Linked DNA regions of Arabidopsis thaliana. The protein of the gene in region 2 purifies or fractionates together with the protein of the main gene of each other region. This does not show direct contact. Each region holds a gene or a part of one and is shown on either strand. Other genes may lie near its edges. The genes, in order: UBQ8 and ACD6.

Region 1 (4,710 bases), on a different chromosome or scaffold from region 2:
GAGAATGAGAGAGAGAAAGAGGAGAGAGCAACGGGTTTCCATTGGAGGTGAAGTTCATGAACTGTGAAAGAAGAAGATTGACACAAGCTGCCATTTGACAGTGTGATGGCTAACGAACAGAGAACGTGGGTGGCGTCCTCATTGGAGATGAGAGCAAAAAGTTTAAATATTTTATTGAACAACTAATTTACTGTATCTATTCATATTCATGCATGTAAATAATTTACGTATATATAATCCCTGGGTTTTTGGGGGTAAAAAAAGGTATATACTATAGTTGATAAATCGAAAAGAAAATTATTTCCAAAAAGGGAAAATCTAATGAAATTTGCCTTAATGGGAGACAATAAGATCTAATCCCAGTGATTTCATGTCAGTTTTTTGGAGCTTTAAAACAAAAGAAAAACTTTTTTGTTTGGTTGTTGTGGAGCTCACCGTCATTGTCAACTTGTCAACATATATGAAATGGATAATATAGTAGGTAACAAAATAGAAGTAAGATAGGAGTCAATAATTCATAATTTTTCATGAAATTTTAAATTATTGAGGAAATGATGTGTGGGGTTATAAGTTCGGCGTTTTTGGTGCATATAATTCCAAAAAACATGCATCGGTGCTATAAACGCAATGTTAGATCCTTTTTCTAATCTTAAAATGTTTTACTTCAATAATTTGCTTCTTAAATGTGTTTGGGTGTATACTATAAACTTTATCCAAGAGTTTGTAATACTAAGAACTAGCCAACTAAAAGAAAAAAAAGAACTAGCCGACTAAATGAATTAAACATTAGCTCTTGCTTCTTCGATAACAATATTGTGCATTATCAGGATTAATCCGATGGTAATTGAGATTTACACTGCGGAATAAAAAAATAAGAAAATTATTATTGATAAGACTTTAAAGTTGAATGGTAAAAGACCATTTATGAGCCCATCAAAACGTAAAACATAACGAGAGAAAAAAACAAACCAAAGCGCTAAAAAAAACTCAAAAGTCATATCGACGCTGACGGAGACGGAGAACAAGGTAAAGAGTTGACTTTTTATGAATATCGTAATCCCCTAAAGTGACGCCATCTTCAAGCTGTTGTCCGAAAAATATTAGCATCTGTTGGTCTGGTTTGATTCCTTCCTTAACTTGGATCTTTTCCTTTACATTGGCGATCGTGTCTGAGCTTTCAACTTCCAAAATTATGGTTTTTCCGGTAAGAGTCTTGATAAAAATCTGCATACCACCTCTCTGAAGAAATAGCTGATGGATAGTTGATCCTTTCTGGATGTTGTAATCTAGTAGCGTTCGACTACCCACAAGCACTCTACCACCAAAGATAAGTCTCTGTCTGTCCAGAGGAATTCCTACCTTGTGTTGGATCTTAACTTTTACATTATCAATGGTGTCTGAGCTCTCAACTTCTAGAGTAATGGTTTTACAGGTAGGGGTTTCACCGGAAAATGAAAATGTCTTGACGAATATCTGCATACCATGGCGAATATGAAAGAAAAGGTGAAGGGTTGACTCATTCCGGATGTTGTAATCCCCAAGAGTACGGCCATCCTGGAGTTGGCCACCGCGAAAAAGCAGTATCTGCTGGTCCGGGGGTGAACCTACCTTGTCTTGAATCTTAGCTTTAACACTTTTAATGGTGTCTGAGCTCAAAACTTCTAGGGTAATGATTTTACCGCCAAAGAGTTTCACAAATATCTGCATACCAAGGACAAGGTGAAGTGTTGACTCTTTCTGGATGCTGTAATCCGCAAGAGTACAACCATCCTTGAGCTCTTTACCAAGAAAGATCAGCCTCTGCAGGTTTGGTTGTGGTTGGATCCCTTCTTTATCCTGAACCATGGCCTTTACATTTTCGATTGTGTCCCAGCTCTCAACTTCCAAATTTATTCTCTTTCTGGTAAGGGTCTTGACGAAAATCTGCATCCCACAACGGAATCTAGTCACCAGATACAGAGTTGATCCTTTCTGGATGTTGTAATGTGCTAGGGTTCGACCACCCTCAAGCGGTTTACCAGCAAAGATAAGTCTATGTAGGTCCATAGGAATTCTTTCCTTGTCTTGGAGCTTAGCTTTAACATTGTCAATGGTGTCTGAGCTCTCAACTTCTAGGATGAAGTTTTCACCGGTAAAGGAATTATAAGGAAGGTTTTTCACAAATATATACATATCACCGCGAAGACGAAGGGCAAGGCAAAGGGTTGACCTATTCCGGATGCCGTAATCCGCAAGAGTACGATTATCCTCGGTGAAGAGCTCTTCACCGTGAAAGATAAGCCTCTGGTGGTCCGGGCGTAAACCTTCCCTGTCTTGAATCTTCGCCTTGACATTTTCAATGGTGTCTGAGCTCTCAACTTTTAGGGTGAGGGTGTCACTGGTAAAGTTTTTACCGGAAAAGGTACTCACAAATATCTGCATACCACCGCAAAGACGAAGGACAAGATGCAGTGTTGACTCTTTCTGGATGTTGTAATCGGCAAGAGTACGACCATCCTCGAGTTGCTTACCTGCAAAGATAAGTCTCTGCTGGCGAGGAAGGATTCCTTCTTTATCTTGGATCTTGGCCTTGACGTTATCGATAGTGTCTGAGCTTTTGACCTCAAGGGTTATGGTCTTTCCCGTAAGAGTCTGCACAAAGATTTGCATACCACCTCTCAACCTCAGAACCAAGTGGAGAGTTGACTCTTTCTGGATGTTGTAATCAGCCAAGGTAAGGCCATCCTCGAGCTGTTTACCAGCAAAGATAAGTCGTTGCTGGTCTAAAGGAATGCCTTCCTTGTTCTGGATCTTAGCCTTGACATTATGAATGGAGTCGGAGGTTTCAACATCAAGTGTTATGGTCTTTTCTGTAAGAGTCTTTGCGTAGATTTGAATTGTCATCTGTAAACAATTTTTTTTATGGGAGAGAAAGGAGGATTCTGAATGGTAAGAACCAAAAAGATCAGGCGAAAAAAGATGATGAGAAGAGATAGAAGAAACAAATACCTTGAGAGAGAGTAGTAGTACTTCACAGAAAACTTTTGCAGAACGATCGATTTAGGGTTTGAGTAAAAGCGTTTCTCAGTTTATATAGAAGAGGAAAAGTTTTGGATTTAAATCAGCTTTCGATAATTATAAAATATTCGACTTAATCTGTTAATTAAATAATTCGAAATTTAGTATTATCTTGTTTATCGCTTTGATTTTTTTATAAAATGCGAACCAAAACAATTCTTGCTTTGATTATTTTTATAAAATACGAACCAAAACAATTCTTGCTCTTCTGATATGGCGTGCACCTCAAAATAGAAGGTTCTGAGGGGTGGCACTTTAGTCTTTCTTCACCTTACAAGATCACTAGCATCTGAAATCGCTTGGAAAATGAAATATTCCTGAATTGCTTAGAGTTTAGACTTCAATTAGAGTAATAAAATTCCACTCTCCAAAAACATTCATGCATTGCACAAAGCTATATATATAATCAAACCTTTACTACCAAACTTTAAGAGTTTGTTTGCAGAATTCAATTATTAGAGACTTTCAAACCGAAAGACTCAAAAATAAAAAGTTGCTCAACATAGAAATTGAAGTCCATGCTTCTATTATTGTGTCGCCATGATGGAACTCATGTAAGCAGACTTCTTGCCAGATGCTCCCGAGCTGTTGCTAGCGCTTGTGTTAGTGTCTGCAATACCGAAATGTAAACAGAGGGTTCAAATTAGAAGTTCACGTTTGTGTTTATAGCCAAACCAGACCAAAGTTATAGCAAAACTAAATCAAGACTATTGCTTTTCCACAGGGAGATGTAACAATAATAGTCAAAAGTGTCGTTACCTGTTCAGAGAGTGAACCACTAGCTTCTGTGCTCTGCATTGCTACTTTCCCCGCAATGACGTTTGGATCCGTTTCAAGAACCACCCTTAACACATATTCCATAATAAGCCACAATCAGACAATAGCTAACTGCTAAGATATATGGGACAAGCTTAAAAAAGGTTGAGCAAATCTTTAGCATGCTTAAGACTTTTATGTAATTGTCGTGTAGGGCTAAACTATTAAACTTGCATACCCTTGATCGACCATTTCATCAAGGCATAGAAAGATGAGATCCAAGTTCTCAAGGGCTTCCATCTTTTCCACATTGCTCCTGGTAAAAAAAAAAAGGGATGCATCATACTTTAGTTGTGGAGATGGTTGATCAATAAATAAAGGCATATTCAGTTGTCAAGTCAAACAAATACCTCAGAAGAAGTGCAACAGCATCAAAAAAGCCTTGAAGAACAGAAGCTAAGATGAGCTCGTTTTCATTTTCACCTCCAGTAACAAAGAAGTGAAGGTCCTGGGCAAACTTATAGACAATAATATTGCTGTCCAACAGTGTGATCTCAGCTGCACATAAAACATCGATATGGCTATTTGAAAGAGATAAGTATATAAGCATACACGAAGTCAGGAAACATGATAGAAATTGTGTAGATGAAAAATGTTATGTAGTCTTACCTTCTGTACGAGCATTGGTCTTAGAGGTCTTTGAGAATACATACTTCTCAAAACTTAACTTGGCGGCATTAGTTGGCCAGTCATCCGAGTAATACTTGACAGCCACACGCTTTCCTTCAGAGTCTAGAAGAAGAATCTTCTTTACCAAAGGACAAGAATCCTATTCAATGTACATTGGAAAGTCAGTAATTAAGTTCCAGTCCAAAAAAAGAGTAAAACTCCTACAAA
Region 2 (7,651 bases):
TTATAGAGATTATATTATTAAAGCGATCCTATTATTTAAAAAATTCCGAGTGACGACAAGGAGATAAGAATGGTGGGAACTATATTCGCCGATTTGATATTAGTGGAAATAAAAAACAGAGTGTTTTTTTTTACTCAAATTCCTATTCGGGAAATGACAAATCGCCTCTAGAAATACACTTTTTAAAGTATTGAAAGATAGACAAACAAAAAAAAGACAGAATCATATTTTCATGCGTAGATATTGGGGAATTTTATTGAATTTGCATTTGTTCTTTTTAAGATAGTAACTTTTTCATCGAGTGGAGTTGAGTAAACCAATCCGATGCAAGAACGTCTAAAGGAAAAGCAAATCGTTGATACGTTTTTGACGAGCAAGAGCATGAGCTTGAGAACTACACAATCTAGGATCAAATTCAAAGAAATGAAAAGGAAACCAACTTTCCAAAACGCAAGAATTGGTATGGTTTTATGAATGGTTCCGCCATGTCAATTCAGGTTTAGAATCCGCGAGTTGGACATAATCTATTTTATTATAGGGTTATACTTTTAGATTTCTAAAAAGTCAGGGTTATCGAGTTAGTATATGGCGGATTACAATCTCAAATGAATTAACTCGCATATCCTGCGAGTTAACCAATAAACAAAATAATATAATTAAAATTATCAATATTTATTTAAAATATAGTAATTTGTGATTTGTTTATTTAATTTGTTAGATATTATTGATTTTTAAAATAATATTATAATCTGTCATAAATTTATTTTACTATGTTTAAAAACTAATTGTAAAAAAAAAATTTACTTCTCAGAATAACTAAACAAGAAAAAAATACACTAATCAACAACAAAATTTACGGTCATAAAATGGATTGGGTTAGTGTTGGTGTGCTCTACGGTGTTGCGCCACTTCGCCAAAACTCACACAATTACATGGTGGGGTTTAGTGAAGCGAAATAAAGAAAAATTTGTATACATAAAAAAGAGAGAGAGAGAAGGAAATCAAAAGTAAATGAGGGAATAACAAGATGAAAGATTAGTGGAGATATGATCAGAGATTCATATCTTGATAGAGCCAGTCTCATCAAAATCGTATAAACATCAACATTGACAAAAAGAAGAGTCTACCTAGTCATGTTGTGGTCAGTGGTTACAGTGAACGAATAAAGAGGGTCCCTAAGTTTTTGCACCTCTTGGAACAATCTAACGTCGTATTGTCGTTGCCAAACGTATCTTCAAATTTTTATACCCCAACAAAAATAATAATTCTTGTGAAGTATCGTCTATATTGCTCTTGAAAACGACTCATGTGGAACGCACGACGAGAATAAAAAACAATTTACCTTTTTTTTTTGTTAAACTCATCTCCTTTGAATGTGGTTCATAAATTCGAGAGATTAGTAAACTGGTATCCACTAAACCGAATAATAAAATATCACTCGATTATTTTAGAGGAAAATCTCTTCGAATGATATACTTTTCACGCTTTATTACAACTACAGATAATTCTGATAGGACTTCGAATGAGTTGTATGATCAAGATGCCGCTTCTCAGAGCTAGAGACCAGCATATCTCGTAGCTTTTTGAAAGAAAAAAAAAAGAGAAGAAAAATATCCTTTGATCTATAAACTTTTGATGATTTATTCGGAACACGCCACACAACCAAAACAAGCTTTGATCAAAATCACAAACAACTCAGATATGTCTATAGTCAGCATAAAAGTCTTGAGAAATATACCAGAACTGGGCGGAAGGTGTGAGCGCTGTAGCATGACGTGAGGGCCAAGGATAAAGATTGCGAAAAGGAAGAATCCACCAGATATAATGCTAATGGTGACTAAAAGCCATTTCACATGGGCAATTGCAGTGATCACGCCAAAAAGGAATGCTACGGGCATGCATAGTAATGAAAAAAGTAGTAAGGGCAAGGCCACATGTAAGGATTTGAGGATGAGTGCTAGATCACCCAACTGCGCCCAAATAAGAGTACATATTGTTGCAACAGAACTTTGCATTGCCAAGATGTCAAAAAGCAGAAAAATGAAGAGAGTTGGGTTAGTGGCCAAAGTTGCCCTGCCCAAGTTTGGTTTTTTGCTATCGCTGATATAACCACCTGGTATTGTAAAGCCTGCAGCAAACGTCACTGTGGCTACAAGAGCCGCTACCACGAGAAGAGCGTTGACGTAATGTCTGTTTTTCTTAGGGTCTAGTGGCACTGACTGTATTGTTAATGACTTAACAGATTCGAAACCACTTGAGTGAATAGCGTATAATAAGAGCGCCAGTGTCCACCTCTGTAATTCCAAAAATATGGAGGTCAAGCTATAAATCATTTATGAGGGATCAAATGTGTTGTATGAAACGGAATCAGAAATACCTCATGAAAGATGTAGTTGGGTTTCACCTCTGACTCGGCAATATCCCTAGCTCTTAAGCCGCTTTTGTTTCGTAATTTCAGTATCTCGTGGTTACGGCTAGCAAGACAAGTAATGGAGTCAAAGTCCCAGTTCATGACGGCAAGGTGCAAAGGTGTATTCCCGTCCACATCTTGCCCAACACCCAGATGTTTCGTATCTTTATCATGCATCAACATATATGCAGTAAGAGAGGCCTCATTTTTTGCCGCCACGTGGAGAATGTTCTGACCAAGTCTGTTAAGAAGGTATTTTGAAGCTGGACAACGTTTTATAAACTCTTTAATAATTTCGTAATGTTCGTTTTTTGCAGCCGAATGAATTGGAAAAGAACCATCTTGGTCGCAGACATAAACACCCTTTGTTGATCGGTTTAAGATGTTGCATAGTCCTTTATAATACCCAATGGATGCTCCGTATGAAAGACAAGTCCTACCATCTTCATCTTGCTCGTCCATAAGACTTGGATATTCATCAAGAATAACATCAAGGACACCTACTCAAACAATTGGGAACAACAATTAGCCATCTTGGGGAGGAGATTCTCGTCCCAAGCTGGTTTTACATAATTTTAACAGATTAAACGTAGCTGTTACTGATTATTAAAGAAAACAAAAAACAAACCTATACTTTTGGCCTTCAAAGCAACATGTGCAAGATGTTTGTTCCCTTGTAATTTCGAATCTAAGTTAAACTTCCTCACTTCACGGTCCACGTTGTCGTCTGTGGTTTTCAAAATTGCTTTCACAAGGTCTTCAAATTTATTTCCAGCGTCTACGGCTTCGTACAAGGAAGATATTCCCTTGTTATTTCCAAGAAAAGGAGCATCCTTGTCCGCGTTCACCAGACAGGTAGCCATCTCCAAATAGCGTCCTTCAATGGCGTAGTACAGAGCAGTATTTCCATCTTCGTCCTTAAGAACATGTGGATTCAGTCCCTCACTCTCTTCAGTACTCAGACTAGCTAAAGCAGATGTTACCGATGCAACAAGAGCCTCAACAACTTTGGTATGACCGCCATGAGTAGCCACATGTAGCGGTGTCTGACGGCTTGAGTTTTGCTCGAATAGAAGGCATGGACATTCAAAGATAATCTCCTTCACTAGTTCCAGATGACCCCATTTAGCAGCAATATGAAGAATTGAATCTCCTGTATTGCTCTTGACACGTTCCATTGGCGTTCCATTGCTTCTCAACTTCTCCAGACATTCTTTTTCCCCATTACTCATTCCACCAAAAATCTCCGGAGTCATCTCGACATCTTCACCAGGGAGAGCGAAAAGATCCGACAATTTAAGGTTAGTACGGAACTTTGGCACAGGTTCGGTGTCGCCCGTAGGTGACGTGGTGCCAACTCCTCCGCTGTGAGAGAAATCTGGTAAAACAATTTGTTACCAGGGTCAAAATAGTTATTTACTAGTATAGTAGTTAGTATCTTATGTAGATATATCGAAAGTTTTACAGCTCTCTTATCGCTAATTTTTATCACTTCTAACTATTTTGTATCACTTACGATTGTTTTCTTTTTGCCAAAATATTTCTACTGTTTTATTTCATCAATCGAATTAACCACTCGTCTTACATTTCATGAGACAAAATTTGTGAGTTCTAACTATGAAATCAATTAACTTATGAAAAATCTAAAATATAAATTTGTAAATATCAGAATATAATAAGTTAATGAAATCATAAATATCTTTATCTAATAGTCAATTCAAAATTAATCTAAATTTTAACTAATCGAGATTTGTCAAGTTGAAGACTCATAAGAGAAAAGAACATAAACACTTGCGCGTTTTGTTAAAAAAAAATTATGTAGATTTTTTACTAAATTATATAAATCTTGGATAGTGACATTTATTAGTTCTTAACTATCTATATTAATATTTTTGAATTACATTTTAGAGAGTAACTTTGTTTTCAGTTAGTATTTACAAAGAATGTCATTACTTATAAGTTATAACCAAACAACTTTACAATTAAAAGATTTTAACATCAATTATAAAATAAAAAAATCATAAAATTTAAAAGAATGATTCTCCTATCATTAAGATTTATTTTTTAATTATTTTGAATCATCATATAAGACATAAAAAGTTTAATTTGTCTGTATTCTTGTGATTCCAATTGTTTAAAACGAACATATATTACTCAATTAATAGAAAATAAATTGAGTTCAACATCCAACATCAGCTAAAATATTTAGACAATCGTTCAGAGCCATAAAAAAAATAAGATAAAAAATGAATTCGAATCTTAATGAACATGAAATTTAACTTAGTAAATATCCAAATTTACAAAGTTTCTATACGGTTTTTTTTATAGTTGAAATGTTTAAGTTTACCTGATATAGTAAATTTTTTAAGTTATAATATTATAATTAATAAATCCAAATTCAATTAAAAAGTTTAAAATATTATAAATATATTTAAACATATAAACAATTTAAAATAATATAGGACAAGTTATATTGTGAGACATGTTATATGGTGAAACAGGTTTGAATCGATATTAATAAAAAGTTAAAATATTATTAACCGGTAATTCATATGGGTTATATTTTTATTAATTATTTTGTTAATAAAAGACATGTTGAATAAGACTAATTTTATTAAATTTTTATAAAACAATATAATTGTTATGTGGTATATTGCTAGTTATATCCTAGTGTTATATCCTAGTTTATAACAAGAATCAAGTAGAATAGTTTTTCCTTATCTTTTTTATGTAGATTGGTTGGTTTTGCATAGGTGTCAATAATAATTTATATAGGGTCACTATACTCGTTAATAAAGCACATGTAATGAATATTCAAAATTTGTGGCCACCCTATGACTCATGTACCTTTCCGTTGATCATGAGAAACTAACATTGACCTTTGTGCCTCAATTCTATCTAGATCTGCTCCAGAACTGTCCATCGCAAACCTAAAATAATCACACAAATGGTTTGAAAAGTGAAAACACAGATTTAAGTTTACTAGTTACTACCACGTCCACAAACAAAAAAGTCAACCATTGCATGCAGAAGGGGCAGAGAAAAAGACTTACCAAGTGGCAGAAGAATTTGAGTAATGCAAGAGCTTTTGCTTAAGGTTCGTCCCTTAGTTTTAAAAGTCGTTAATGTCTCGAGTCATGGTTATCGAGAGGAGTGGTGGTCTCCTATAAATAAGCAAAGGCCGTTCTTATCTTCTGTCTTAAAACTGTCTTGGATGCAATCCACCACACACAGAGTTTTCATATGAAATTGTACATGTCTTGAAAGCCGGCGATTAAAAGATGACCCCAGTTACTAACTCATTAGAAGACTTTGAAGTCGTCTCCTAATATAGTTGGTCTAAATTTGTATTTTTTTTTCCTGGGAGAAAGTGACAAGATGAGTAATGCAAATTCTAAATGTCGTTACTGTCTCGACTCAAGTGAAAGTGGTGGTCTCCTATAAATAAGCCAAAGGTCGTTCTTGTCTTCTGCCTTAAAACCTATCTTTGCCTTAAATGAAAAAAGCAATCCACCACACACAGAGTTTTCATATATATGGAATCTTACCATGTCTTTAAAGCCAGAGATTAAAAGATGACCCGAGTTATACTAACCCATTAGAAGACTCTGAAGTCGTCTCCTTATATAGTTAGTCTAAATTTGTATTTTTCTGGGAGAAAGTGACAACGTGACCCTGTTTGTTATATGAATCACTCCTACCTCTTCATGATCTTTCTCTTTATCTTGCAGTAAGCTTCTGGATTGGGTTTTTATCATTTCTTTCCTAATTACGGTTTCACTGTTGTAGCCCAACTATACCCAGACCAGAGAGCAAGTTGAGGCGGGGTTTAAGCGGATATAGCTAAAACTTATAGATAAATTAGTGATTCATTGATTGTAGGAATACCAGAAATTTTAGTTCATCGCAAGTTTATTAGTTTACTGTTGCTGTATATTCATTCTCTAGCCAAAAAACAATTACGCTTGAAACAACTTTTTTTACATGTACATCATACTTTATATTTTTATTTTATTTTTTTCCTTATAAATTCATTGATATCAAAACAAGATTACAAAGTCAGTATACAGTAATTTTTGGAAACAATTTCTTACATAAACAGATATATACGCCATATAATGAGAAATATACACCAAAAGAAGTAAATTTGACGATGTTTCAAATAAGTCTTACTCGCTATAAGATTTTTAAATCCTATATTTTCTTTCTCTTTATCCGATTTCGCTCTAACGCAAATTGTTTGCGTGGATAGCTTTTCTTGGCTTGATTTCCAAAGTGCACACTGCATGGTTAAACCTATTGATTCTAACATAAGTTCTGAGGCTATGACTATCGGATATTCGGATACCAACACTTCCGTAACCGAGTCTCTCTATGGGGATTTGACTTTGACTTTATGATCTTTGAAATCAACCTTTGAAATTGTTTCCGCTTGTTAACTATGGTTTCCTCCTTCATCCCAAAATGCCCTATCTTCCGCAGTTGTTGCCTGATATATTTTTCCTTGATCGGAAATAGAAAAATACAAACCCATTTCTCCATCCTAAGAAACGGTTTTGGGTTTGCAAATTCAAACAGTTTCTATCAATTTATCAGTTATGGACTCAAAAGTTGTTATGTAGCATTGGTTATTGTAAGTGATTGCTATTTCTATAGAGAATTTGGTAACTTAGCTTCTTAGTTTTTAGCATGTAATTGTTGTGTAGAGTGATTCGTTTACTATGATATGAACCCATTTTACAGTGCTAACTGCTAAGACGTCAAGGACGGTTCAGCATAATGAAATAGTCTTCTCATTGTCCTCCGTCACATCACTAGTTGTATGGTTTATACACATTATCTTATAGGCAAAGATGTGTTTGTTTTGTTTCTTGTGTTGGTTAGCAATCGAATCATGTGTGTGTGTTTTATTTTGTTTGCTAAACGGCTGAAGTAACTTGCCGTTTTTTCGTTTTTAATTACTGTAATAGTATTCATGTTGCGACTAACATATAACTTTATTTGGCTGATTTATTTAGGCAAATTTTCATGTTTGTTTGGTGGCTTACTTGTCACTTCATCAATTAAAAAAATGATGTCGGATGCAACAGTCCATGTCATCATCATCAAAGGAAATACGAAACGTTTTTTTTTTCAACTCGTCTTCTTCACATGAGTTTTTCACATCATCGGAATTTCCAATTCATCACCGTCTTCCTCATTCTTCTTTCATCCTTCTCTCGATACGATTGGGTAAAGAAT

What was found.
Region 1: the proteins of ACD6 (region 2) and UBQ8 purify together in Arabidopsis thaliana (affinity purification with western blotting, with the first as the bait; one study listed by BioGRID). This does not show direct contact.

Annotation. Positions count from the first base shown.
Region 1 is NC_003074.8:3,003,124-3,007,833, forward strand, and holds UBQ8 (ubiquitin 8), read right to left. Parts: upstream 3,128-4,710; 5' UTR 2,884-3,127; coding exon 988-2,883; 3' UTR 739-987; downstream 1-738. Other genes in the region: CCR1 (CRINKLY4 related 1), read right to left, coding at 1-42; AT3G09800 (SNARE-like superfamily protein), read right to left, coding at 3,608-3,667, 3,817-3,901, 4,052-4,129, 4,224-4,371, 4,483-4,642. UniProt on the Arabidopsis thaliana protein: Ubiquitin exists either covalently attached to another protein, or free (unanchored).
Region 2 is NC_003075.7:8,292,350-8,300,000, reverse strand, and holds ACD6 (ankyrin repeat family protein), read right to left. Parts: upstream 5,837-7,651; 5' UTR 5,464-5,836; intron 5,341-5,463; 5' UTR 5,334-5,340; coding exon 5,258-5,333; intron 3,789-5,257; coding exon 3,039-3,788; intron 2,911-3,038; coding exon 2,378-2,910; intron 2,295-2,377; coding exon 1,641-2,294; 3' UTR 806-1,640; downstream 1-805.